Linked DNA regions of Drosophila melanogaster. The protein of the gene in region 2 interacts with the protein of the main gene of each other region in a pairwise test. Each region holds a gene or a part of one and is shown on either strand. Other genes may lie near its edges. The genes, in order: SmydA-8, unk, CG4766 and CG5011.

What was found.
Region 1: the proteins of unk (region 2) and SmydA-8 interact in a two-hybrid assay, tested with the Drosophila melanogaster proteins (one large-scale study listed by BioGRID).
Region 3: the proteins of unk (region 2) and CG4766 interact in a two-hybrid assay, tested with the Drosophila melanogaster proteins (one large-scale study listed by BioGRID).
Region 4: the proteins of unk (region 2) and CG5011 interact in a two-hybrid assay, tested with the Drosophila melanogaster proteins (one large-scale study listed by BioGRID).

What each region holds. Positions count from the first base shown.
Region 1 is NC_004354.4:2,204,994-2,210,673, forward strand, and holds SmydA-8 (SET and MYND domain containing, arthropod-specific, member 8), read right to left. Parts: upstream 3,686-5,680; 5' UTR 3,492-3,685; coding exon 2,541-3,491; intron 1,471-2,540; coding exon 1,033-1,470; 3' UTR 522-1,032; downstream 1-521.
Region 2 is NT_033777.3:23,151,832-23,159,872, reverse strand, and holds unk (unkempt), read left to right. Parts: upstream 1-2,010; 5' UTR 2,011-2,029; coding exon 2,030-2,094; intron 2,095-2,162; coding exon 2,163-2,372; intron 2,373-3,379; coding exon 3,380-3,799; intron 3,800-3,861; coding exon 3,862-4,064; intron 4,065-4,323; coding exon 4,324-4,433; intron 4,434-4,632; coding exon 4,633-4,741; intron 4,742-4,902; coding exon 4,903-5,028; intron 5,029-5,098; coding exon 5,099-5,679; intron 5,680-5,735; coding exon 5,736-5,933; 3' UTR 5,934-7,781; downstream 7,782-8,041. Other genes in the region: VhaAC39-2 (vacuolar H[+] ATPase AC39 subunit 2), read left to right, coding at 634-1,319, 1,387-1,753. UniProt on the Drosophila melanogaster protein: Essential for late larval/early pupal development.
Region 3 is NC_004354.4:5,996,976-6,002,567, forward strand, and holds CG4766 (uncharacterized protein), read right to left. Parts: upstream 3,823-5,592; 5' UTR 3,222-3,822; coding exon 3,019-3,221; intron 2,526-3,018; coding exon 1,972-2,525; intron 1,848-1,971; coding exon 1,498-1,847; 3' UTR 533-1,497; downstream 1-532.
Region 4 is NT_033779.5:1,198,665-1,201,736, reverse strand, and holds CG5011 (uncharacterized protein), read right to left. Parts: upstream 1,067-3,072; 5' UTR 878-1,066; coding exon 635-877; 3' UTR 517-634; downstream 1-516. Other genes in the region: CG43349 (uncharacterized protein), read right to left, coding at 1,285-1,497; CG43348 (uncharacterized protein), read right to left, coding at 2,159-2,287; CG5139 (uncharacterized protein), read left to right, coding at 2,599-3,072.

The DNA.
Region 1 (5,680 bases), on a different chromosome or scaffold from region 2:
TTTTTTTCTACTGTAACTATAAATCTAGATACGTACTGATGCACACGACACTTGGTTAGATTAAGTCCTAGACCTAGGCCAGCCATGTACCGAGGTATGCGTGTATGCCGCAGCTATGGCATATCCGAATAATTGTGTACGGGCGACTGTCACCGAACCGCCGGCTTCTGTCCCCCGAGCCATGACCTCTGACCCCAGACCCCAGACCCCTGACCCCTGACCCCAGACCCCATTAAAGGCCCCCATTGCAAGTGCATGCAAATGTATGCCTACACGTACATGTACCCATACCAAATTATTGTTATTCTATTATGACTGTATGCCTGTGCGTGTGTGTCCGTCTGTGTATGCGCCATTAAAGAAAGCTTTTGTACAACAACAGAAAACCACAAAAGTCCATTTTGAAATCGATTGGCTGAAAAACCACACATGCCCCTGACAATGGGAATATGAAATGTGCGGGTAAGTAGCGTTGTGCTTGAAACAATCTATTTTTTACGAAATCAAATACGAAAGATACAGGCTCTAGAAATTCATACGCGTTAAGATTACTGCAATCAGTTTTGGCCAATAGCCCCAGAAATGCAATAGATAATCCATGTACCATATAAATCACATGCCATATACATACTGCCCAGTCGACTTGCTCCTCGTCAACACAGCATTCCTTTCACATACTACAGTGCTTGCCAAGACGATCCCAAAAAAACGAATGAGAGCCCAGAGAATCTACATCGTGGCAATTTTCAACTTGTTGGTCAATCGCAGACCGGTGATCTTCGTGGCTAGTTGGCTATTCATATTTATTGTCAGGGCACAGAGGCGTTCCTCGAAAGGGGTCCACATACAGAACGGATTGCAGATATAGTTCGAAAGGATTCGGTGTTTATTGGATTCTTAAGTGACTACGAATAAAATAGCAACAAAGGGCTCGGATGCGATTCACGCCACCCCGAAAAGTACGCATTCACAAAAGCACTCACTCATTCACACCTAAAAAAAAAAAAATGAAGTTTTGAAGCTAAATATGAATCACTGAATCTCCCCGGTGATCAGCTTCTTTAGGGTACACTCTCCGGCTCCCAGCTTGTGGAGGATGGCCAACACTTCCTCGCGGTAGCGATCCATGTGGCCCATCTCCTCCGGAGTGTACTCCTCGTGGTCGAACCGCGTCATCCTCCAGATCACATTCAGCTTGGCCTCGATCAGCACGTAGTTCGAGGAGGGACAGAAGCGCGGACACAGCTCGTTGATGAAGTGGATCATGTCCTGGACACTGCACGAGTTGATACGGTTATTGATGGTGTTCAGCGCGAAGTCCTGGTACTTGGCCATCTTTGCGTGCGGGAACACGTTCTCGCAAGTGATGCACCGCCAGTCCGGCTGCAGTGTCCGAGTCTGGACGGGAATCACCAGGCCACGGCAGCCCTGTTCCCGGCAGAAAAGCGCCGACAAGTAGGTGCCGTTTTCCTGCAAGAAGACAATGGTCAGTGAATCGAAGGACTTGGGGGGAATCAGGAAATCGGGGGTGGAATCTGCAGTCAAAGATCCGGCGGGTTCACGTCCGCCTCTGTCCATTCACGGCGTACAGTTGGTTCCACTCCGAATCGAAATGGAAATCGAAATCGAAATCAGAATCGAAATCAAAATTAACATTCTGTGTGTCATGCTCATGTAAATTTTGGGGGTGTGTGTTAGTAGCCCGGGAACTTTGGATGCCCACATTAAAGGCATATAGGCAAATAGGATCAATGGACTGATAATGTATGCCTCGGAGGTCTTGAACAAGAGTGCGTTTAAGGTGTATATTTAATAGCAAGAATGGAACTGTCCAACGACTGCAGGGCTGTGACAAAGATGTCTCAAGCTCACCCAACTCCCAACAAGTAATTTTGTTACTATGCCCATCAGGCAGTCATTTTAGCAGGGAAAAGTGCGTGTGCCTGTTACCAAATGTTGCCCCTTTGCCCACTTGATGGACACCCCCCCTTGGGCGCGCCCCTGGGCCCTGGTTGATGCAAATCATATAACTAATTTAATTAGGGAACGCATTTGTGTCAGGGGGCCTGGCCAGCGGCGGCCACTGCCAACGCCAGAGGCCATTATTCAACTCATCCCAGAGCGGCAGAGAGCGGCCACATAAATAGATGTGGCCGGCCGGATATGTGGATCGCGTACGTACATACATATATGCCCATGCCACTCACATCCCTACCACACGCGCACTTTCACAACGCCGGTGACATCGGCGTTGGCCAAGAAATGTGCCCGAAATTCAGAGCTTTTCAAATTGCAATTATTGTTTTTTGTTTTGGGACAAATATATTGCGATGGTCGCGATGCAGATGGCGGATAGGGAGAATGATAGCTATCAGGTAGGTTCAGAAAAAGAGGATTGGTGGAAAGTTTGGCGAAGATTGCTATTAACCATGAAGAAACTCCATCAGCCTAGAAATGACCATAGTCAGAAGCTAAGCTTGCAGATGGTGGGAGGAGGGATTACCCAAGGAGACCAGGATTCCTATTGGTACCGTACTCACAGTATTGTCGTGACACCTCACGCAGTCGCAGGCAAAGTGCTTGGTCATCTTGAGGAAGATATTCCGGGTGAGGTTGCCCCAGAGGATCTTGGTGTAGGTCGTGGTAATCTCACCGCCCTTGGGAATATCGCGCGCAGCCCGAACCACCGCCAGTCGACCGTTTTCGAAGTAGTGACTAGCGTTCGGGGTGCACTCGTGGTTCATGATCGCCGTGAGCGGGAACAGACCCCGCAGTAGCGTCTCGTGGCCGCCAGAGCGGCAAGGAGCCTCGAAGGCATTTGTATTGAGCACGCCCACGATCCGGAACAGCTGGTCCATGAACACCCGATCCGTGGTGGGGAAGTTCCGGAAGCATTGGGCCGCCTGGATGATCTCCCGCCGGTAAGCGCGCTCCGCATTCGCTTGCATGGCGTCCACCAGATGCCGCTGTTCCTTGCCCAAGTGGAAGACCCTCACTGCGGTGAGGATCCTCAGCGACATAGGATTCACCTGCTCCTGCTCCGCATCCACGTCTTTGGGCTGCCAGCGACGGAAGTGCTCGCACTCCGCCTGGTGCTCCTCGGAATCCGAACAGGTTTCGCATACGGGCAGGGTGCAGCGATGCCGGCAAAGGAATCCCGTTTGCGGCAGGGTCTCATGACAGCAGATGCAGCTGCTCAGTTGGCCCTTTCTCGCCGTCGGACCGGTGACTAGGGCTCGCTCCTGGAAGATCAGCTCGCCGGCGGCTATGTCTCGGGTGGCAAACACCCCACGACCTGCCACCGTGGAGGAGCTGATGGTCCAGTTGGGCTGCTCTTGGCGCAGATCCCCCAAGTGGACGTCTATCAGCTGCGCCAGCTGCTCGGGCGTGGTGTCGCGACAAGGGGCCATGTGAGCGCTCAGGGCGGCCAGTGTGGTGTCTCCTCCACCACCGCCTGGGCGAGGAGGCGGGCACTGGGCAGCAGTAGACATGGCGACTGCGGTGGGAGGTCGGTCGGAACTGCGGCGAACCAACGCGACGCGCGGCAACTCGGCGAGTGAAGATGTCTCCGCGCAGCTGGGCGGACTACGCGGGAATAGCAACGATATAGTGGCGACAGCGACGACAGCAGCAACATGAGCAGCGGCAGCAGCAGCAGCAACACCACCCAGCACATCAGCAACAACAGCAACAACTGACTGCCGACAGTGGAAGCAACCCAGCAAAGCAGCGACGCTTATGACGTGGACACACCGACGCCCTCGGAGAGCATTAGACACAACTAAAAAAACACAAATTAGAGGCATCCACCAGGGAACGGGGGAAGGCGATTGACGAAAGGGGCCGGGAGGTGAGGAACGGGAAATGGGGGGGCAAGGGGACAACAGCGACAACAGTCAAATATGATTTTTTCCAAGGCACACGCACACTGAAAGCACACACACTCGCCGCCAAGTTCCCATTTACGAAATCCAAAATAACATTTTCCCCGAAGGAAAGAACTTGAGCATTGTGTTCATTGTTTTGGCCAAAATTCGGGCTATTTTTAGGCAGCTTGACACAAAAGTTCAACACTTTTTGTGAGAAGCCAAAAGTTTTGATTCCGCGATAAGCGGTTTCGAAACGTTTTCGGAGTCGGGAACGTGGAGCCACTTGGTGCGCCACTGGGAAATAGAGACATTTGGCTGGGACGACGCAAAGCGGATTTTGCTTTTGACTCTTATTCAATTTGTGCTTGAGCTGTTGTTGCCGTGTGGTTGTTGCTGCCGCTGCTGTGGTTGCTATTGTTGCGTTCAATTGGATTCGCTAGTGGGCGTCCATCGGGGGTTGACGATCGCGAGGGGCATAGTGAAAGGCACTGATGCAGCCATCAGCCATCAGCCATTCAGCCATCAAAGAACATTTCCCACTGTCAATTTGTTCGCCAAACACCTCACTGTGGCTGAAACCCCCAGCCCCCTTCACCGAAGTCTGCTTGCGGTTGGTTATGGACGCCATAAACTGAAACGAAGCCATAGGAGCACCACCCACCCCATCTCATCCCCACCTCCACCCCCATCCCATCGCTATCACCATCTTCATCCGATTTCTGTCGCCCTACGACAATCTGAACGGTTGGCAAAATTATTTGTGGAGATGCAGCGCCATTGATACCAAGCGTGTTTGTCTCCCACGCTGCTACACTGGCCAAAAATGAGTGCACGACGTAATAGGCCGCTCATGGATAGGACTGTAAGCCCTGGAGAGTGTTGCCTAAATGCATACAACGTAGAATAAGAAATGAGTACTACAATCCTGGCTGGCAGTGCAACCCACTTTCTGCGGGTCTAACTACATATGGCAGTGCGTGTGGCCGGGACATAAATTAGGGCTTCGCTGGCCAATGAGTTGCGTGTTCCAGGGGCCAAGGGGTCGGAGACACCAGGCCGCAAAACGAGGTGAGCGTCGCAACACGTGACCTGGTGGGGAGAAGGACCAGTACCAGGACCATGACCAAAAATGGGGTGGCTCCACTCCCAGCTGTTCACTTTCCGACGCGAATGTCACGCACTGTCACATGTTCCAAAGTGGAGTAGGTTCGTCCTGCCACGCCCATTCTCTGCGGTAATACGTAAATCAGTTCTAAAGCGTACGACCTCCGTTCTCCCTGCTCCTGCTACGGACCGCCAGCAACTTATAGTTCGCCCACATTCCAAATCTATTTTCACTTTTACGCGCATTTTATTGGCCCAATCGAACGGAAGCTAGACTGAGCGGCATGAAGCGAATAGAACGCACTCGAATGCCAAATATCAAAAAGCGTGAATACCAACTGAAAAATTATAGGGTGCGTTCGGGCATTATCGACCATGAGTCCTTTAAAGCTATCATGATAAATATTATTACATTAGCACAACCACAACTTTTGTAATAGTCGATCAAATGTGGAATGCCATACCTTGTTGAATTCGTAGCTTAATTTCCTATCCAGTGGCATTCCCAGCTAAAAATATTAAAATTTCACCATTTTTCGAAAAAAAACGTGATGTAACCCCTTATAAAAAAGTGAAAATTTCGCAAAAAATTATTTTTACCAAATTATCTAAAAAATGAAATGGGTCGTTAGGTGAGGTTGTCAGCTGCAAAAAACAGTATGTTTCGTATCTGTGCGTCTTCATTTTGCGAAGTTACAACTAAAAAA
Region 2 (8,041 bases):
TGTTTATTTGTTCTAGTTGAATGAACGTGTAACAACTTGCAGTTAGTATGCTATTGGCCCGAGCGCAGCTAGTTGACTGAGTAAACAAACAGAGTTGGCAGCAAGTAAACAAATGGCCCAGAGCAACAGGTAATTTCCGTACAGCATCCTCCAGGCGCATGTGCGGAAATTGCGTTAGAATGGGCCGATAAATAGCTATCTGAAATTCAAATAGCAAGCTTTAACTAGGTGCATTTTCTTATAACTAAAATAATCTAGTTGGATGCACTTTAAAACGAACAAACCAAACAAATAATATCTTTTCAAATTTAAAGTTAAAATTTAAAAAACCGTTAGAGCGCTGCCATATTGTCAAAAAGGATAAACGAATGGCAGCCTTGCACCATCGGTAGCGCCATCTAGCGTGCATCGGTAGATACCGCCACCGAATATTTAAATATTATATATAAATATATTTGTAGCTTAATAAATATTATTTTAGCATCTAGAATCCTTAGTATTTATATCAGAATCAGTTCATCCGAGAAATACCTATCACCGCATGTTCCATCTATCAATTTCTGCTTTCACTTAAAAGTTGCCTGGCGTGTGAATTCCTACTAATAGATAGCTCGAAAATAATAATAAGTCAAAATGTCGATGATATTCAACACGGAGTATGGCTACCTGGAGGCCCTAACGCGCGGATTCAAGAACGGCATGCTAAAGCACTCGGACTATCTAAATCTGACCCAGTGTGAATCCCTCGAGGACGTAATGATCAGCATCCAGGGCACGGATTACGGTCTCATCTTTGGTGGCGAACAATCAGCGCCGTCCGTTGAGGTGATCGAAAGATGCCTTAGGGATCGTCTGCTGCAGCAATACTACTACATACGCAGTCATTCGACGGAGCCGCTGACCACCTTTATGGAGTTCATACGATATCCGTTCATGATCGATAATGTGGCGCTTCTGGTCGCTGGCCTAAACAATCACCGATCCATGAAGCGTCTGCTAAGAATGTGTCATCCGCTGGGCGAATTCGATCAACTGGGCGCCATCGAAGTGGCCTCGAATTCTGCGGAGCTCTTCGACGCCGTTCTAATTGACACGCCCATCGCTCGGTTTGTGCCACGCGATTTGCCCATGGAGTCGTTGCGTTACCTCGACGTGGAGATTGTGCGTGCCCATCTGTATCGTGCTTATTTGGAGAAATTCTACGCCTATTGCAGCCAACTGGGCGGCAATACCGCCAACGTGATGACCAATCTATTGTCCTTCGAGGCGGATCGTCGGACCATTACAATAGCTGTGAACGCTATTGGCAGTGATATCATGTAAGATATCTGTGTTGCTATGAAATTCTTCATATTATACTCATAATGCCCACCTTCCAACACTCAGACCGAAGGAGCGTCTAAAGATGTTCCCCACCTGTGGCTACCTGCCCAAAATAGCCTTGGCCTCCATGTCCACTTTAAATGATACGGATAAAATAAGGGATGTTTGCAATGTGTTCGATGGCTATGGCAAAATGTTTGACAATTTGGAGCGCGACTCGGACGGCATGATTACGCTGGAGGACCGCTTTCTCATGATGGAGGCCAAGAAGAATGTGCAGACCTTCCTGCAGCAGTACCATTTCGGGATCTTCTACTCGTTCATTAAACTTAAACAGTTGGAGGTACGCAATATCGTCTGGATTAGCGAATGCATAGCGCAGCGACAGACGGACAGAATCAACGCCTTCATTCCCATACCCTTGGACTAGAAACGCTTTTGCTTTCCTTCTTCGAAATGTTTTCCCTTTGAAATGTGTGTTATAATATATAGGCGTTGTTATAAATAAAACACATGCATAACAATTTCGCATTAATTTTGGCGCCAAATTTGTTTCGTTTGCGTCCCGGCTAACCACCCATCAACTGGGGTGTGTGTATTTGCTAACCAATCGATATGGACGATGCCGACAAAAATTATCGATATCAATCGACTTAAGGCCATGGATGCCCGACGCACCGATGTTTTTTGCACATCACTAACAACGATGTTGGCAAATGAAACGAACAAGCTGCTGCTTTCCTCGCAGCAGGAAAAACCAAATCACTACACGTAAATAGATGCTAACTAATGCAAACGATGGTTAATTTGACGTGCAACCTTTCCGCCAACCGTTTCAGCTACCTGAAGGAGTTCCGCGTGGAGCAGTGCCAGTCGTTTTTACAGCACAAGTGCAACCAGCATCGCCCCTTCGTCTGTTTCAATTGGCATTTTCAAAACCAGCGTCGGCGTCGTCCAGTGCGAAAACGCGATGGCACCTTCAACTACAGTGCGGATAACTATTGCACCAAATACGACGAGACCACTGGGATTTGTCCCGAGGGCGACGAGTGAGTAGAAATGTTGTGAAATTCATAGTTTCTGATGGCCCGTGAAAACGCTGGACGGGACGATTGCAGTGGCGGAGGATGGATGAGACAGCAATAGCGAACGACGTTGTATTTTTTTTGTTTCCTCTTTGCGCTCTCCTTCCTTCGCGATGTGTGTGTATCTCTTGTCTTCGTGTTTACAAACAAAAACCATAGTGTGTTTGTGTGCAGGGGGGTGTGGTGGGGGCGGTGGCAGGGGCCTGGCGTTGTCTGGAAAGCCAAAAGTGAAATTGTAAGTGCGTATGTGGGCGTGCTGCTTGCTGTATCTCTGTGCATGTGTATGTGTGTGCAGGCGAGGTCACCACCGTGCAAAAGTGAAAGTGATTCCAGCTCTAGTGGGCTAGCAAATTCTTATCAGCATCCGTTTTGTGGTGGTTGTTGCTCTCTTGTCGCATGTATACATGCACAGACGCTCGCATACACACAGGTACGCACAAACAAACACACGCACAGACGTAGGGCATCGCTACAAGTGTGTGCGTCATTGTTTTTATTGCGTTTCGCTTTTGCGTGTTTTCTTCTTCGTTTATTTTGATTTTCCCCCGGCAGCTTCGAAATGTACAGTTATTGTGGCTGGCGAGCTTTGGAGAAAAGCTCTGTGAAGTGTAAGAACGGGCTAAAAGTAAAACGCAATTACGCTTTGCGAGAGACAACAACAATGTCTGTTTTTATGACCCAGACTCGAGGTCCAACCTCTGACCCCGACCTCCATTCTATCCATTTATCGTTGTAGTCTCCTTACAGGGTACGAAGGTGGAAAGAAAGCGGTTTTAGTTTTGAAAGAGAAATTTCTTTTACTTATTAAAGAAATACCCTCAAACATGTATTAAAATGATGATTTTGCTGTAAATGTACAACTTTGTTGTTTTTTGTTACGGTTCTTTTTAATTAATGGGTATCATACAGTCCATTCACTTAGCCTCGTCGCCTGCTTTGACGTCACTAAAACTCCCTTTCTCCCCATTTAGATGCCCCTACTTACACCGCACTGCTGGCGACACCGAAAGGCGATACCATCTGCGCTACTACAAGACATGCATGTGCGTCCACGACACCGACAGCCGAGGATACTGCGTCAAGAATGGACTACACTGCGCCTTCGCCCACGGCATGCAGGACCAGCGCCCACCGGTTTATGACATCAAAGAGCTGGAGACCCTGCAGAACGCAGAGAGCACACTGGACAGCACTAATGCTTTGAATGCCCTGGACAAGGAGCGCAATTTGATGAACGAGGATCCCAAGTGGCAGGACACCAACTACGTGCTGGCCAATTACAAGACAGAGCCCTGCAAGCGCCCACCGCGCCTGTGCCGCCAAGGATACGCTTGTCCACAGTACCACAATAGCAAGGACAAACGTCGCTCGCCCAGAAAATACAAGTACAGGTAAGATTTCCCCTGAATTCATCCTAAAGTCAGTTTTAAACCGCGATATACCATTGTTTTAGGTCCACTCCTTGCCCCAATGTCAAGCACGGCGAGGAATGGGGAGAACCGGGCAACTGCGAGGCCGGCGATAACTGCCAGTACTGCCACACACGCACCGAGCAGCAGTTCCACCCGGAGATCTACAAGTCGACCAAGTGCAACGATGTCCAGCAGGCCGGATACTGTCCGCGCAGCGTCTTCTGCGCCTTTGCCCATGTGGAACGTAAGTATAGAGGATTCGATGAGCTAATATATAGGACTCAGCGTTGTGCTCCACAACCAGTTGTTGTAGGGATGTGTTTAGGGCCAAGTTATGATATTACAGTTCTAACTTAATGTTTGTCTTTTACTCGCCTCATCCATCAAACCGCAAATCTGTTTCCAACTATCACTCAAATCCTTTGAAAACACGTACATCAATCAATGTTTGCTTTGCCGCTCGGTGTTGCTTGTCCATGTAACTACTCCCAATCCAAATAAAGCATGTTCAATTGACGAGAAGACGCGGGATCACACGGTATACCTAAACGAGCTTATTTCCAATGCCTATCCTGATTTAAAAGCTCAGGATGCGTTTCAAAGGGTCGATAATGTACGTATTACCGAAGCAATAACACTCATCCAAATAACGCCATCGATTTGCATCGCCTAAACCTAAACGTACTACCACACATCGTTTGCCGCTCTAATCCAGCTAACCATCATCAACTAACTGCTTAACACTTTCGATAAGCCATTTAATCATGTGTCCTGCTCTCCTCGATTTTTTTCTTTTCGTTTTGTTCTCTTAGTTGTTGAACATTGATGGTAATAGCACCAATAAAATGTTGGTAGACGCTTTGGAAAACACAACAAATTTCAGCAAATTTTTAAGTTTCTCACGACCCCTGGACAGTCGTTGTGAGTATCCCAGAGTCCTGACATGCGTACGTCTAAGTTATACACTAGAAATCAGTTCTTCGTTTTGGTTGTGGACAAAGAATGTCAGCGCTTAGATAGCAAATGTCGTGACCCCTAGCCTAACTGAAATTCAATAATTTTTTGTCTTCACTCTTTGCAAGCAGCTTGCTCAATGGACGATCCGCGCGAGAACTCATTGTCGGCGAGTCTGGCCAATACTAGCTTATTAACACGTTCCTCGGCGCCAATTAACATTCCTAATACGACTCTAAGTAACTCAATTAACGGTAAGTAGTCATCAACGTCCTATGAGTGCCAACTAATTGCTAATGCTAATACTCCATTCCATTTGCACAGATTTTAACTCAGGTAGCTTTGCCGTCAACATTCCCAGCAGCTCGCTCACCTACAGTCCCACCAACCATGCCAATCTCTTCAACGTGGACGCCTTCAACTATGGCGGCTCAAACAAACTCAGCAATTCCCTTTCGGCCACCCAGAACGATAGCAGTCTCTTCTTTCCGTCGCGCATCATATCGCCTGGCTTTGGCGATGGCTTGTCGATTAGTCCTTCGGTAAGGATATCCGAATTGAATACCATACGCGACGACATCAACAGCAGCTCGGTGGGAAATAGTCTGTTCGAGAACACTCTCAATACGGCCAAGAATGCGTTTAGCCTTCAATCTCTGCAGTCGCAAAACAACAGCGACTTGGGTCGCATCACCAATGAGCTGCTCACGAAGAATGCTCAAATTCACAAGTTGAACGGACGTTTCGAGGACATGGCATGCAAGCTAAAGATCGCGGAGCTCCATCGGGACAAGGCCAAGCAGGAGGCGCAGGAGTGGAAGGAGCGCTATGACCTAGCACAGATACAGCTAAATTTGCCAGCAGAGCTTCGGGACTTGTCCATACAGAAATTGAAGCAATTGCAGGTTAGTCGCTTAATTAATTTCCCAATTCCATGGGTTTTAACCTGCTACCATTTTAGTCCAAGCTGCGCACCGACTTGGAGGAGGTCGACAAAGTATTATATTTAGAAAATGCCAAGAAGTGCATGAAGTGCGAGGAGAACAATCGCACGGTTACTCTGGAGCCGTGCAACCACCTGTCTATTTGCAATACATGCGCTGAATCGGTCACCGAGTGTCCCTACTGTCAGGTGCCGGTAATAACCACCCACACCTAGAACATGTTTTATCAGCAACAGGACCACAAGTGGCCCTTTGGCTGAAAATCGGATAGGGATGGGAAAGGGGATTCCGATGGGATATGAATGGATCATGGGGATCAAGACCGCGAACAGCATGACAATGTGGTACTCACAAAGCAAACTTTAGTCTTAAGCAAAACGTTGAAACTTTTGAACAGTTAGGATTTGACACATGCCTACTAATTGTGCATGTGGCAGGGAATATATAATTTATGTTTTCAATCTACTCAAAATATGCAAATTATCGTCATGAATATTAGTAATTACTAGGCACAAACTATTAATTGAATTAGCTAGCTGCTCTAAACGAATAAGTATGTAATTTTATTTTTGTTTATTTTTTCTCATATCGAATCGAATACAGGAAAAAACATTTTAAATTGATTTTGTACTATGATTTATGTAACCAACTCTTTTAATTTTGTTTAATATTCAATGTTTAGGCATACATATTTTCTAATCTACTGCACGAATTTGCAATGTCTCATTTATTTTTTTTTTAACCACATATGTATCTCTATATTTGTATTTAAATATGCTACACTTTCAGTCATATTGTACTTTTCACTAGTATTACATAAGAAATTATGAGAACTAAACAATTACAAGATGTAATTGAATGAAAGATATATAAATATATAATATATTAATTTTTCTAGACACTTTTAGCAATTGACTATTAACAAATTTATAGAAACCAACAAATTTAACAATATATTGTCGCATAGAAGAGCAGAAAACAACCACAAACAAACAAATACCACCAGTGATTTTATATAAGCCGATTTTCAAACTGTATTTTTTATGTATGTGTTTCAAACTTGTGAATGCAAACTACAACTAAAAGCCAAGACAATGGTCATAAAATCAATGTAACTGACGGGTAATCAATATTAGTCAGTACTCAGCTTTTATTTTCCTTTTTCAAATGCACAAAAGTAATTATAGACGTTGAAACGAGAAGTAACTAAAGGCGACAACGCTTTTCCTTATCGAAAGTTCATTTCATTTTGTCTTATTGAAAACCAAGTTGAATGTATTAAAACACTTTGATTTTTGTTTAGGCCTTGGTGCAGCTCGTGTAAGCCAATGCCAATTAACCAGTCACAAAATTATCAACTTACGTATATAATCTATTAGGTTACTTTGTGATTTGAATAGTGCTTTAAGTACTTACTTTGCAGATGACTTCAATTTTCATTTTACTTTCATAGTCTCAACTGGACGCTTCCAAATTAGTAAAAGCATAAAATGAATCGTCAATGTCAAAACGTAGTATTTAAGTCATATTAAATCCAGCATTTGGCTGATTGTACAAGAACGAATATGAACAGATATATATTTATGGGAAATTTGAACGCAGATTCGATGAGTGTGATGTTGAAAGCATAAACAATAAAAGTAACTCGATACAGCGAAATGAACAGAGTTTAATGAAAATGTTAACCAGAGTTAATGTAAAACCGTCTTCAAAAACCATTGTATTTTTCTGCGAATTAAAATTATCAAACGTAATCAATTGGACAATGTTGAATGAAACTGAAACGTGTTGTTAGCTAGTTGAGTTGAATTGATAAAGATGTAATCAAAATGAAACTGTTCTGGGAATGAATTGAATATGAATATGAAATCAACATAGGCATTTATTTGAAACAAAAGCAACACTATGAATATATATATACAAATGAAAAACTGAATTATATTATTACAAAGCTAACTAGGAAAGGCAGCGCAAAGGCTCTTATCTCTGTGTGTGTTTGTACTATGTTTTGTAGAAGCCAAATCAGCAAGAAATACAAATAATTAATAAATATAACAATAAACAATTGTGTGTTAACTTATAAATGCTTTAATAGTTTATGATACAAGTGTACACAAAAAAACTAAAAATCACGAGAACAAACAATGAGAAAATTGGTTTTATAATGGAGCTGTTGAGTCGCAAATCTATTGTGTGTATTACCAAACTAAACTGAAAACTGAATGCATACCTCTCTCAGAATATCACTGACTCTCATCACCGGAGACACAGTTTGAAAGATTTGCTAATTTACTTTATGAATCTCCACGAGATGTACATGGGA
Region 3 (5,592 bases), on a different chromosome or scaffold from region 2:
TTCGTTCCGCAAAAAATCCAAAAAAAAAGAAAGAAAGAAAAAAAAAAACGAAAAATAATAAAGTAAAGCGAAGGGACAAAAGAACCGCAGAACAAAGCAGGCAAACCACTCGGTTTTCGTGGATCCAGCCCCCGCCAGAAAATAACCATAAATAAGGGTAATAAAAGTGATGCTCAGTTGTCGCTGCAGCAGCTGCATCTTCCCAGCCTCAGATCCCAAGACGATTCCGATCCACATCCAGATCCAGATATGTCGTCGTTTGCAAATAAATATTCGCCACTGCCAATAATCATAACATTAACTCAACCGCCGATCGAACTAATGAGATCCCAGCACATCCTTTCCAGATTTGTCCTTTTTTTGTGGTACATCTTCCGTTTGTCAGCCTCATTTAAATATATGAATATCAGTTAAGAACATCCATTTTTTAACTCTCCATGTTCTTTCAGCAAGTGTTGTGTAAGTATTTGCTAAGCAATCAAGTGATTTAAAATACAATCCCTATTGATAGGAAAACAATACCTGGAGTGTTGCCTTTGGCTATCCTTGAATTTATTCAAGCATTTTTTACATTAGCAATCTAGGATTATGTTGTACTTAAAACAAACTGCGGATAATCGTGGTAAATGTTAGGCATCGCATAATAGACATCGACATACATAAATATGTGTATATGTATATGTAAGTAGTAAAACAATGTTAAGTTGGACTTGGAACGATCAATGGAATCTGTATCTCCCTCTGTTCTAGCGCTATATGTATATATTATATATTTTTTGTATGTTCGTTTTGCTTTGATCTAGGATCTGCGAACTGTGAAACAATCGTATACGTCGAGTGTGTATAGCCACCGTGTAAAAGGAGCCGCCTGGACAAATGCTCTTTTTTCATTCTCTCGATTTTTCGATTTTTCCATCCGGACTTGCGAACCGGCGAGTCCATTGTTCGCCGGCCAAACAAAGGATGTGTCGTGAGCGTCGAGGGGCGAGTTATTAAAAACAATATTCGAGGCTTAGCCGGATCGCTTGGATGGGCAGATATATATCTCGAATCGCATCGAGTCGAGTTGAGTCGAGTCGAGTCGAGTCGAATGGGGAGTGGACTTATCTCGCATCTTCGCATTAACACTTTCGCACACACACACACACACACGCGCACGCACGCAGACAGTCACATATACACAGACATGGCACAAAATGGCCGCCAAGGAGCTGTGCTTATGCGTATGTATTTATTCGCATATGTACCTTTCATCTCCGACTTGCCTGGCACCTCATACACATCAGCACTCCCCCGACTTCGGATGGGTCGATATTTGCGTGACTGCAAGAAGAAGTTAGTCAAATCAACAATATGTGAATGGAGCAAAAGAATCTAATCTAACGGGTAAAAAAATAAGAACAATATTCACTCTATGAGTGCGGTTAATAATTATAAATTCCTGCCAAAAATGTCATCGCCATTATCGACCAGTCGTGACCTTTAACCTCTGACACCTTACAACTTCTCAAAGGCGTTGGCATTTGTGAGGAGCTCGCGGGTCAAGCGCCACACCTGCTTGGCCGCCTGCTCCAAAGCACTGGGGGATTTACCCTTGAACATGTCCAGTGCGGGAAGGAAGTAGTGGGGACAACGGCGATACTGCAGACAGGATATCAGCTGCAGGAATATCCCATTGATGCGGTCAGCGATGCAGCCCTCGTCCCACTCAAAGTCCCGCGGATGCTTCTCGCACTCGTAGAGCAGCAGGTTCTTCAGGTGATACGCACTGATGGGATTGCCTGGTAAATCCAGATGCCTGTCCCTCAGGGTCTTCAGCATGCTCAGACAACGTCGACGACAGCCACCTGAAAGGAATTCAATATGAGATTTAAATACACCAGATTTCAAATTCCCAAACTATACTAAAAGTTGCTAGTAAATTGTGTGATCTTTTCTGTAAGTGTAAAGGTGTATCCATAAGATGTTTACCTTGCAGCAGACGGTTTTCGGCCTCGAAGAAGCTGAGCACCCAGGCATCGCCCTCCATGCTGGCGGCATTGTTGTTCTTGTTCTGCATGATGACGCTCTCCTTGGACAGAAGATCGAAGCCCTCGGTCTTGACCTCCGCCACGATGTTGGGATGTGGCCACGGGAGATGTGGTACCGGCCAGTGGGCCGCCGATCTTGGCCAGATGCCTGAGCACTTAAATGCCGGCGTAATCTGGACCACGAATCGCTCCCGAATGCGCAACTTCACCTCGCTGGTGTCGCCCACCATTTTGACCATGTCGCGGTAGACACTTTTATCGCACGCCTGGGCCACCAGAGTCTGGAAACGGGCACGGATCTTCCGGGAGGACAAATAACCACTGGCCGTTATGAACTCCACCCACAGGGACATGGACCGCTTCCTTCCATCGCTCAGCTTCAGAACAGCACATCCCGGCAAGGTGCCATCGTCCACGAAATTGAAGACACCCATTTGATTCAGATACAGCACTATCTCGAATTCATTCGGGGATATCACTTCAACGCCCTCGAATCTGTAAAAGTGATGTTAACTATTTCGATGAAACCGCTTACTTACAATACTATATATATATTTTTAAATCTATATATTAATCTGATAGTTTATCGTGTTGAAATGAGTATAATAGGGGGCGACTGCTACTCCGTTTCTGGTGGCGAGACCTCGATGAGCATGACTTGTCAGTTAACTGACAATGACTCTGCACTTTGGTTGTAATGATCGCAATGGAGTGAAGAGGATCGGATTTGATTGCAATGGTGTGGAACTACTGGAGTGAGAAGTAGCCGCGATGACAGTCATCAGGGCACTGGAATTACCCAGATATCTTGTTGATGGCTCTGTGGTTGGGAACACTAGACATCTCTGATCGGATGAGCAGCTCTCGTTTTTATTAGCTAACTTATGCATCGGCTTAACATTAGGTAATATAGTTATTAATATATGGTTATTAAGAAACTAAAGAAAAGATACTGAGATACTAATGAAAAGATACTGAAAAAGTTTACCTGCCATTGCACTCGACGAGGCTGGAGATGAATCGCGGCTCCTGCAGTTCCACCTCTTTGAGGATGTCCTGGACGATCTTGCAGATCTCCCGGATGGCGGTGGCCGTCTTGTACATCCTGGCCTGAACCCTCTCCGTGCAGAATCGATTCATCTGATAGACCATGCGCGTCTGGGCGGCCATCATGTCCGGCGGCACCAGCATGGTACTCAGTTCGAGTTCCACCAAGCTCCAAAAGTACCAAAAGTACAACGATCTATCTGTAGATGTATCTTTTTACCGGCGACACTTGGTCTGGCGGCCAACTTAAAAGCCAGCCAATTATGCGAAATTCGGCAGCGGGTCTCCTTCTGGACGGGACAGAACAAAGGAACAATTCAATTGTGAGTTACGGTGACAGCAGAACCAACAATGGGCACAAGTGGAGCACGACGACGACGATGACCGCGGTGTACCGAGTATGTATATGGGTATTTTAGCTTTTGGCTCTTCAATTTTAGTAGCTGCTGCCCGCAGATACAGTATCTGCATTGGCGAATTGCTGACCGAATGATGCGCTGCGCTCAATAGCGATACCCCCAGCCTGATGCCGCTGCCGATGCCGATGCCGATTCCGAGTACGAATCGAAGTCAGCCAAACGATACTGATACCGATACCGAAGTCGCGGCTGGCTGGCGTTGTAAATCTCGCGGATATTTACAGCTTCGGGCAGATAAAAAAAAAAGCGCTGAAAGTGCAGTTTGGCCCGGCTGCAGCGAAGTATCTCAATATCCATGCCAGTATCTAACAAATCCGCCATCTCGGTGGCAGTGGCATGAATGGGACTCACAGGCTCAGATACACACAGCTGCACACACAAAGATACAGATACATGTCGGTGCTGTCACGTGACAGGGGTCTCTGTCTCGTGCCACGCATTCCGACGCTTAAAAAATCGATGAGATACTCGCCACAGGCCCCGCGTATCTGTCGTATCTGCCAGATGCACTTTGACAAAAATCTAGGCACTTTAAACGTTATAGATACAATTCTAATAGTAACTCTTTCTTAGTTGTTGTAGCAAAGAGCCACTTCTTCTTATCACAAATGTTATATTTTTCAAAGAAGAAATAGTTCGGTTATTTGATTTAATATAATTCCCTACTTAAGGTTCTGACTAAAATTACTAGTTAACATTAAAATAAAAAACACAAACAGAACTTCATTTTTCTGCGTGTACTAAAAACAAATACGCTCTCTGTCTGTCTCTCTGGCCTGCATGCGTATGGGTGTATCTATGGGGTTGCCTGCTTGTGTATCTGTGAGAGCGGCGCGTTGCCATTGGCCCGTCGAGGCCACGCCCCATTTGGCGGCCGTTACGCTGCGGCGCCCTCTTTGAAGTCTTGCGAGCCGCGGTGTGTGTATCTGTGTGTAAATTTAATTTGTTAAATACATTTCGGCCTGCCATCGCGTACAAGTTGTGTGCAATAATTTATCTGAAATGTGCACTCATTTAGCAAAGAGCAGCGAGCAACGAGCAACCCTCGTCCATGTCCCACGTTTGCCGGCCGATATCTTTATATCTCGCATCTCGCGGATACACAGATACATTTACACTCATAAATATGTCGCGTGGATTAATGTGCCAGTTGGCAATTTCTGACAGCGCTCTCAGTTCCAAGCGAGCAACTTCCTCCGTTCTCGGTTACCGCCTTTCCCCCTCTCCGTACGTCTTATATACCATATAATAATATGTACATCGTGTATACATACATATATGTAGTGTACTTGATGGACATGTGGCAAGATCAAAGCGCCCGTCGCCTCCTCCAATTAGACAAATCCCAAACGCAGCCACTAATTCGAGTGGAGGCAAAACACAAACCGAACACAATTGCCGACGACCAGCAGAATTTTCGCAGAAGGAAGCGGAAAAAAGGGGTCAAGCATCCCATGGTGACGGAAGTATCTAAAGACGTATCTGCAAGGTATGGATACAAAATGTTTAAGATACATACATATATGGAAAGAGATGCAGTGAACTAAAAGTTTTAAAAAACGTATAAGTTAGGAAATATATACAGCGAAATACTTAAAAAAAACTATATATCGAATATGATCAATTAGATGGCCCTTTAAACTAATTTTGGCCACTTAACGAAGGCCCACTGTATCTTTTGTTGGCTGTTAGGTCTTTTGTTCGGCTTTATTGACATCAATCAGTGGCAGTTTGAGCAGATCTAGCCATATCTAAATAGTATTCAGCCCATTCCAATTTGTTGGGGCCGTGAATCGTTGCTGTCAGCCGAATTTTAATGGAGCCCCAATGAATGGGATACGATTGGATGGGATACCATTTTAGAGAGAACGACGATGCCAGGTGCTCCTCACCACTCCATGGCATTTGGCTGATTTTTGGCGCGCTGGATTTCCACGTAACCAGATAGATGGAGGTGGCACTGGAACTCCTATCTAGATGCGCGCATATCTGCATAAATTTCAACAAACAGAGGAAACTAAAAAAAAGGCCACAACAAGGAGAACTACACAGTTTTTTTATTTTTTTTTCCAGTTTTTCGGTTTTCAGACCCAGGA
Region 4 (3,072 bases), on a different chromosome or scaffold from region 2:
ATGTAAGCAAATGCGTATTTCCTATCGATAAGATTGCACAGCTTTATCTAGCGTTGAGTTGAAGTAACTCATTGATAAGGTTTACAACAGGTTTATATGCATGATTACTAATAGTTCAGCGTTCAAAATAAAAACAAAAATATTATTCTTGAACAAATGGAATGGAAAAGAGCCAATAAATCAAAGATATGCTCAGTTAAGAATTCATGACATTCGACTAATACGATAAGCCCACGTATTAATAAAGAATCCAGTGATTGATTGACTGATTGATTGATTGTTTTCCTAGTGAAATATTAGTAATGACGTGTTACCTCAAGAATTTGATAGTACCCGAAAATAAGCTATCATAACGCACCTAAAGAATGACGACTTTTTCAATGGATTATCTTTATGACGGTCCTATGGGAATTCCAAAAAACCGTCCTTATCTTATTAGGCGCATATATCATCATACTCGAAATGGGATTGTTTGTTGGCATAGAAGCTACAAGTAATAAAACTTGAATCACACATAGGCGTGACTAACTAAAGTTAGTTTATATATTTAAAAGCAGCATATTTTTTAATCACACACAAATGTACATTTGTTGATATCACACTATATTAACCGATCTAGATTACAGTTCAGTTCTTATCGCGGATGCATTGGAGGTCCTGGGGCCACGTATCCTGGACCATATGGATACGGACCATGCGGCGGCGGAGGATTGTAGCCGGAGCTGTTTCCGTGAGGAGGTTCGTGGTAAATCGGATGCACTGGCGTGTGGAACGGGGGCTGTGGTTCATGGTGCGGAGGTCCATGGTGCGGTGGTCCGTGGGGCGGTGGCCCATGAGGCGGCGGGTTGTGGTGGTGGTGCGGTGGTGGAGGAGGCATCTTTGCTTGGCGGGCTTCTGTTGTACACTAAACTGGCTCACTCCTGCCAGACCTTTTATACAAAAGTAACATAGTTTCAGTAGGCTGTAATCTTATCTGCATTCTAGTGGAGAGGGACTTTCTTTTATATATAATTGTCTACCTTATCTGCTGGCTTTTTGATACTTAATCATACTTAATCAATTCTTGCTTCAATATTCTTCTAATTGCTTATTAGAATCAGTATCTTTATAATGGTGTTATAAAATTAAACAATTTCTAAAATAAAAACATTTTGCTCTTGGTGAAACTAACTAGAAGTTAGTGAAGATATTTTAATGTTAGTTTGTGGCTTAATCACAGTTAACGATTAAGTTTTTCCATATCAGTTTATAACGTTAAATTCGGCTTATATTGTATTATAGTTCTCATCGAGGATGCATTGGAGGACCGTGGTGTGGTGGTCCATGATGATGGTGGTCGTGGTGCGGAGGTCCATGGTGCGGCGGTCCGTGGTGTGGTGGCCCGTGATGCGGTGGCCCGTGGTGTGGAGGACCATGGTGCGGTGGCCCATGGTGGGGAGGTCCATGGTGTGGTGGCCCATGATGATGGTGGTGGTCGTGGTGCGGTGGAGGTGGCATCTTGACTTTTCTGACTTTAGTTGAGTACTAAGCTAAAGCCTATCCTGTCAAACCATTTATAGGAAAATGATTCGAATACGTTGTAATCTTATCTAAATTTCAGATAAGACGAGCCCAGTTCGGTTGATAAGTAAGTTTCGGGTTTTCCCACAACAACACTTCGCTCAATAAAAACAAATGTATGACATTCGAAATTAGTAATAACAAACAAGCGAATTGTTTACTGATATGTCTATATGTGACTTAAAGAATAAGTTAATGACGACTTTGCATGTAGTTCATAAGTACAACAATATGGAGATGTTATAATATTTTATTTTTGTAAGCAACAATCAGCAACAATCAGCAACAAATTCTTAAGCTTAGTACGTTGCACTTAGGACGTGTATTATAATTTAAAAAGCATTTAGATCTTCAAATCATATGTATGCTTTGTTCAAATTAATGGAAGCTTAGAATGCATTAAGCAGTATCACCAATTCAAGATCATAAACATTGAAGATATAGAAAAGAGTAGAGCTATGTATTTTGTACAGGCTTTTATTTCTTTGGTTTGAAGAGTTTTTAAGACTTTCTATTAGAAACTAAGTTCCCTAAAAAGTATCCATCTTGTTTTGTTCTGTATAAAATTGAATCTTATTTATAGTCCTTGTCCATGGGCCTAGTGATGTCCGTGATGGGGCTTCGGATCTCCGTGGTGAGGGGGATGCGGTCCTGGTTGGTGATCCCCAGGATGCGCAGGACCCTTCGGTGGGTGCGGTTGGTGGGGCTGGTGCGGTGGTGGTGGCATGTTTCCAAAGCGATTTCCGTTCTGAACTAAAGTATTACCCCGATTTCCACGCTATATATAGTGACGAAAGACTGCTGGAGGCATTGGTTTTCCCATTAAAACATTTTATCAGCCTGTTTTGCGATAAGGTGAGTACTTGGTGGTCATATCGGAATTTCCCTATGACAACGCAACGAGAAAATCACACATCTAGCTTCCCTGATTTTTCAATCGAACAGGATTTGTATATTCGTATGATCTTTTGAAGTGGGAGGAGTGTGCATTCTTGTATTCAAATTTTTTATTGTATAAAATTTTCTCGTGAACAAATTATGGAAAAGAATCTGTGGAATACGCTGCAGGAAGTCGAGCAAGTCGAGGTTGCTTTTAAGCAGACCTTGAGAAACATTACCGATATCCAGAACCGATACAAAACGGTTTCGGCCTTGAAGAGCAAGGCCTCCAGGCGCCAGGAATCCTTCGAGGCGGAGATCCAAGGTGCCATTACAGCACCCAATCCTGCCAAGAAAAGGAGGGTGGTCAAGAAGAGCAAGATCAATATCTTGAAACAGAGGAGTCTGCTACCAATGCCAGTACCCAATCTCAGATCGGAAACTATCCTGCAGGTGGAGGAGCCTTTTGTGTGTCTCGAAACGAATTGCGTCTACGAAATACACAAGACAACCACTCACCTGATGGCGCGGAAACCATATGGAGCTCTCATCCGGCGACTGTATCGGTCAGCCAGGCGGAAGAGGATGTACGACCAGGAGCAGGAACAGGATCAGGAACAGGTTGAGGAACAG